Mus musculus: one gene and its partner. The protein of the gene in region 2 interacts with the protein of the main gene of each other region in a pairwise test. Links are inferred from orthologs where the notes say so. Each region holds a gene or a part of one and is shown on either strand. Other genes may lie near its edges.

The links. The genes of interacting proteins can lie anywhere in the genome.
Region 1: the proteins of Hoxa1 (region 2) and Efemp2 interact in a two-hybrid assay, tested with the Homo sapiens proteins (2 studies listed by BioGRID and IntAct). The link is inferred for Mus musculus from reciprocal best matches to the Homo sapiens genes HOXA1 and EFEMP2.

The regions. Positions count from the first base shown.
Region 1 is NC_000085.6:5,479,890-5,482,375, reverse strand, and holds the end of Efemp2 (EGF-containing fibulin-like extracellular matrix protein 2 isoform 1 precursor), read right to left. Parts: intron 2,347-2,486; coding exon 2,227-2,346; intron 2,143-2,226; coding exon 2,016-2,142; intron 1,831-2,015; coding exon 1,635-1,830; intron 816-1,634; coding exon 654-815; 3' UTR 522-653; downstream 1-521. UniProt on the Homo sapiens protein: Plays a crucial role in elastic fiber formation in tissue, and in the formation of ultrastructural connections between elastic laminae and smooth muscle cells in the aorta, therefore participates in terminal differentiation and maturation of smooth muscle cell (SMC) and in the mechanical properties and wall integrity maintenance of the aorta.
Region 2 is NC_000072.6:52,155,768-52,159,520, reverse strand, and holds the start of Hoxa1 (homeobox protein Hox-A1), read left to right. Parts: upstream 1-1,203; 5' UTR 1,204-1,299; coding exon 1,300-1,954; intron 1,955-2,431; coding exon 2,432-2,787; 3' UTR 2,788-3,753. UniProt on the Homo sapiens protein: Sequence-specific transcription factor. Regulates multiple developmental processes including brainstem, inner and outer ear, abducens nerve and cardiovascular development and morphogenesis as well as cognition and behavior.

The DNA.
Region 1 (2,486 bases), on a different chromosome or scaffold from region 2:
TAATTAGATGGCCCCCGGTCAAAAAGTTTCTCAATCCAGCTGCCTCATTCTAGTGACTGGAGACCAGAGGCTTGTACAAGTGCAGAGCTTGGGGTAGAGCTAGGATGCTAACCCCAAACTCCTAGCACTGACCAGAACATGGTTCCTGGGCCCAGTATCAGCCAAGCTCTTGAGTGAGGACCTGAGGTACATACTCTTCAGAACTCCCTGCTCAGGCCTTTTTTTTTTTTTTTTTTTTTTCTTCCTCCTGAGACAGGGTTTCTCTGTGTAGCCCTGGCTGTCCTTGAACTCTGTAGATCAGGCTGGCCTCGAACTCAGAAATCCACCTGCCTCTGTCTCCCCTGAGTGCTGGGATTAAAGGTGTGCGCCACCACTGCCCACTGCTCAGGCTGATTCTGAAGAATGACCTTGGCTCTGAAACCTCAGCCTGACTGGAGAGGACCCCTTGTGTGGAACTCACCTGCCCCTCTCGCAGGCCAGCCCCTTCCCGGGCTGAGGTTACTCACCCACCTCAGCCAGGACTCCTTCTTTCTCCCTTTATTGTCCTTCACATCATAGTTCCTTTAAGCAGAACGGTCATCCCTAGGCCCCCGGGGCTGCTTAAGCTATGGGAGGGGGAAGGGGGCCCCCACATGGCCCTTCCCTGAGGGTCTTCAGAAGGTATAGGCTCCCACAAAGACCGTGAGTCTCAGTACAGAGCTGGCCCGGTAGCTCATAAGGGAATTCATGGTGACCATCTCCAGGTCCAGCACGTACTCCCGGGGTCCCGTCACTGGCCTGGCGAGGACCAGCATGGCGCTGACATTGTTGATTTGCTGCAGGGTACAGTGGACAGTAGAACATAGAGATGGTGTTAGCCTAGGAGCCAGGACCCTCCCCCAGCATCAGCCGGCTTCCCGTGGCCTGAAGTCAGGAAAGTCTGACAAGGCCCCTGCTCAAGTCCTTCCCTGGCTCTAACCTGTAGACCTTTTTCTCCCTCAGTATCTGAGACCCTGCCACTTGCTCTCCTCGGCAACTCCTTCCTGCCCCCTAGTCGCCTCGACTTTCCCTCCATCATGACCTCCTGATGACTCAAAGTTTGGGGATAATGGGACTTTGGTGCCCGAGAGGCGTCCCACTTCCCTCTAGAGTACTCAGTTCTCGCTCTGACACTGATGCTGAGCAAGAACTGAGGGCCTAAGAATAGAGGAATGTTCTGCCATGGAGCTGGGAGGTCAGCCCCAAAGCGATTTTGAAAGAAGTTTTGATGCCAAACATCTCAGTGCCTAAGGCAGCTTAAGGACCCACGTGCAAGAGCCCTCACACCTGCGCCAGCATCCCTACTGCCTTCCCTTTGCCAGCAGACTGGAGTCTCTGATCCCAGCTCTGCAGAAACTACATTTCTTGTTTTATGTATAAGGAAGTCAAAGCCAGGCAGGAGAAAGCAGTACTGGGAGTAAGACCCCACTAACCGACTGTTCCTTAGAACTGCCTGTAGCGTGCTTACTAGGAGACAACTCTGACTTCTGACACGGCCCCTGCTTCCTAGGACAGGGCTTTGGGAGCAGAGGCAGGGCAGCTCCCACTTACATGACTTCAGACCTCCTATTTTAGATTACTTGAGTCAGTTGAGTGTGGGTAAAGAAGCACCTTACCCTAATGTAGAAGTCCCCCTGTGTGTTTCCAGAACGGATCTGAAAGGCATTGTAGGCACCAGGGTAGACAGAGGTTGCCTGGATCTGAAACACGTCAGCAGGCACACTTCGCTCTGAGGTGATGCTCATGTAGCGGTGCACAATGGATGAAGGCTGCTCTCGACAAAGGGGATTGGAGGCAGGGCAGAGGCAGCGGCTAGAGACCCCAAGATGGGACAGGAATGAGGGCTGGGCCCATTTCCCAAATACCCACCTCCTAAAGAGGAAAGCCCGAGCATAAAAGACCAATGAGACATTATGAGTCCTCACCAACCCGATTAAACCAGTAGGCCCCACAGACCTCTGGAGTTACCACAGCAAACTGCCATCAGGTTGACTCACTTGTCTGACACTTGGACATAGGGCTCCACACAACGGTTGGTGTCCACACAGCGGTAACCCCCATGGAAGTTGACACAGGTTTGGGCCTCAGAACATTGGTGTGCACCTGTTTCACACTCGTCAATATCTGTGCCAAGGGAGGTGGAGTTGGACTCTAGGACTCACAGTAAGCTCCCAGCCGCTCAACTCCTGCCCACCCAAGCACCTGTACCTTGGCAGAGCCTTGTAGCCAGCAGCTGGTAGCCTTGTGGGCAGTGACAGGAGAATCGGCCTGGCTCGTTGACACAGCGGTACTGGCAGAGGTAACTGGAGTAGCCGCACTCATCGATATCTGAGGGAGGGCGGGGATGAGGACCCTGGGCCAAGGGGAGGCCTCACAACTGAGTCCCACAGACCTTGACCAAGAGAGAGGGAGCCCAGCACCCCCATAAGGATGGATGTGGGAAGAGAGAAGGAAAGAAGGAGACCCAC
Region 2 (3,753 bases):
CCCCAGTCCACACAGGCAATAGGGGATGGTGGGAAGGGGGGGCTCTTCCACTCCTAACTTGCCTCTCCTGGAAGAGAGAAACTCGACGGGGGAGGTCTGCATACTTTTTAGGAGTTGCCTGTTATCTGCCCTTCTGAGGCCTACCCTAGAGTGAGCATGCTCCTGGGTCTCTAAGAGTTGGCAGATGGCCTGCAGCTCAGGCTCGGCCCTCACGCCAGTCAGCCACGTCTGCTGGCGTCAACAATCTCCTTTGCCTTCTACTCCTTAAACTCCAGTAGCAGAGTTGCCCCGATTTTGCAGGGCTACCAAGAGCAAAGCGACAGAGAAGGAGAGAGGGCAGAGAAGAGAGTGGACACCCGGCCTTTCCCAGAGAGCTGGGTTCGTAGCCCCCCCCACCCCCACCCCCACCCCCGAATCCCGGGACCCTGGGGTCGAATTACAGAAGCTCCCATTGCCATGCTATTGGCCGGCAGGAATCAGGGAAGAGGGCTCTAAGACCCTTTGGATGAGGACAGAAGTTTCTTTTCTTGCTTTGGTCCCCAGCACATTCACCATGGTTCCTCCCAGTCAATCCTCTGCGCACGTCCCTCTACATTCCGAGGCTGGCGAGCCAGTGACGCAACCTCGCCCTAGGCGCCGGGATTCCGGGCTCAGGTCTCTTGCAGGGGTTGGGTAGTGGCGGCCGCCCCGAGCTGAGGGCGTGGTGTCTGTTGGATTCCCACCCTTCCCACCCCGCGTGCTCCCAGCTCCGCCAGGGTCCTTGCGACCACGCAGAGATTTTCGGCCCACAAGATGCCCGCCACAAGAGAGCCAGGAGGCCTCATCCCCTCTCACCTCTTGCCAGTTCAGCTTTCTGGGCTGGGTGGGGAAGGGGCCGCGGAGGGGGCCTCCCATCCCCCCACATCTGGTGGCGGAGGCGCGCAAAGCCGGGCGCGCGCAGAAGGCAGTCTCGACTCCCTTTGGTCCCAGTGCTCCAAGTCAGCTCCGGGAGCGGCCGCTGCTACCGCCGCGGCCCGGGCTGCCTGGGGGGGCGAGCGCGCGTCACCTACACTGAGGAGCGCCGGGGATTTAAATGCCACTGAAACGGTGATCCATCACGGCCGCAGCCGGTAAACTTTCGCAGGCGGCTCAGCCATTGGCTGGTAGAGTCACGTGTCCTCCCCTCGAGCCCTCCGCCTGCCCGCCCCGCCTCTTGCGCACTGTACATTCATATCATTTTTCTTCTCTGGTCCTATGGAGGAAGTGAGAAAGTTGGCACGGTCACCCAGGGCTTCGCAGGATCCAATCACTCAGTGACAGATGGACAATGCAAGAATGAACTCCTTTCTGGAATACCCCATCCTTGGCAGTGGCGACTCTGGGACCTGCTCGGCGCGAGCTTACCCCTCTGACCATGGGATTACAACTTTCCAATCCTGCGCGGTCAGTGCCAACAGCTGCGGCGGCGACGACCGCTTCCTAGTGGGCAGGGGGGTGCAGATCAGCTCGCCCCACCACCACCACCACCACCACCACCATCACCACCCCCAGACGGCTACTTACCAGACTTCTGGAAACCTTGGGATTTCTTATTCCCACTCGAGTTGTGGTCCAAGCTATGGCGCGCAGAACTTCAGTGCGCCTTATGGCCCCTATGGATTAAATCAGGAAGCAGACGTAAGTGGTGGGTACCCCCCGTGCGCTCCCGCTGTTTACTCTGGAAACCTCTCGACTCCCATGGTCCAGCATCACCACCACCACCAGGGTTATGCTGGGGGCACAGTGGGCTCGCCCCAGTACATTCACCACTCATATGGACAAGAGCAGCAGACTCTGGCCCTGGCCACGTATAATAACTCCTTATCCCCTCTCCACGCCAGCCACCAAGAAGCCTGTCGTTCCCCTGCTTCAGAGACGTCTTCTCCAGCGCAGACCTTTGACTGGATGAAAGTTAAAAGAAACCCTCCCAAAACAGGTAAGTCCTGCCGGCTGACAGACAAATGCTGTTCGATTTTTGAAAGGGGCTGGCACACCTAGTTTCCTAGGAAAATGAATGATTTTTAAAAGATTGGTTCTTGTTTATGTCTAATGTCATCTAGAGTTGTAGTGAGTGGTGTAGGGTGCCCAGGTGTGCAGAGGCAAAAGCGTTTCACAGGGGCTGAGGTTTAAATGGTCTATAGTTAGATAGTGTGCGGGGAGTGGGAGGTGGTGATGGTGGTGATGGTGGTGATGGTGATGTCCTGTTAATATCTACAAGGCTCCATTAATCACGAGCCTGATCACACTAATGGTTGACTTCAGGTTAACACTGCTTACACATCGTCACTGGCGCTTCCCGATAGGGTTTGTGCTCGCTGAGTAGTTAACCGAATATTGCCTCAAGCTTGGGGCAATCTGGATAAAGGTTTAAGATTTTTTTTTTAATCTTTTCTCTCTTCCTCCCCTACCCTAGGGAAAGTTGGAGAGTACGGCTACGTGGGTCAACCCAACGCAGTGCGCACCAATTTCACCACCAAGCAGCTCACAGAGCTGGAGAAGGAGTTCCACTTCAACAAGTACCTTACACGAGCGCGCAGGGTGGAGATTGCCGCGTCCCTACAGCTCAATGAGACCCAGGTGAAGATCTGGTTCCAGAATCGCCGCATGAAGCAGAAGAAGCGTGAGAAGGAGGGGCTCCTGCCCATCTCCCCTGCCACTCCTCCTGGCAGCGATGAGAAAACGGAAGAATCATCTGAGAAATCTAGCCCCTCGCCCAGTGCCCCTTCTCCGGCATCGTCTACCTCAGACACTCTGACTACCTCCCACTGAGGCTACTCCAGCCCAACTCTGCAGCCCAGGCTTCTCCCTGGGCTGGGATTTCTTACCCAAAGCACATTCTTAGCTTATCTTCCTTTCTTTACAGACTCTCTCTTCCTTTCTCGTCCCATCTGGGGAGCTCCTGGCCAAGATAAGGTATTTCCAGAGAATTCTGGAGCCTTGGTTGGAAGTTAACTCCTTCATCCACATCGGGTGTCCACATCAATTGCTGATGGCTCCCAACATCCTTTCCTTCACTGTTGTGAGATTTTTTTCTCCCCACAACCTATGATTCCTTTTAGATGTCGGCTGGAGAACAGTTAGTTCCCTTTGCCATCAGACATTTGCAGGAAGGAGGCATCTCTCCTTTTATCTATGTATTGTTCTTCTCCACCTAGCCCTTAAGTAGGACATAGAGGAGAGAGAGTGTCCAAAGACTCATGAAGAAGAGATGCACTGTGTTTACACAATTAATTCACCCCCTAACTTAGCTGGTTTCATGTGTGTGAGTTTGCTGGTTGTAAATGCTTTCCCGTCAGAGATTTATCTTTATACACATTTTATAGAAATATGTAGGTCACTAAATCAAACAGGGTGGACAAATTCTCAAAACTGGTACAGTTCATGTGTGATTATGGGCGAAAGAAGAAAACCTCTTTCATTCAAACAGAGTCAGATGCCTCAGAAGTTGGCCTCAATTGGTTCTTTCAGAGTTAAGAAGGCCTGCCAAGCACTTTGCCTGTGCCAGGTCTTCCCAAACTCTAACCAATTCTTCCTGCTTCTCTGGCCACCCTGCATTTAAAAATCATGCTGGATCATTTGTAACCCAAAGGTATTCATTCTTTCAGTCACCCTTTCCTTCCACACTGTCTTGTATCATGGCTGGATCCAGTGTATTTCCAGCTAATTGTTAATGTGATGGATGGCACAATGAATGTATATTTTGTGTGATTCGTGACTAGTCTTCTGCATGTCGCA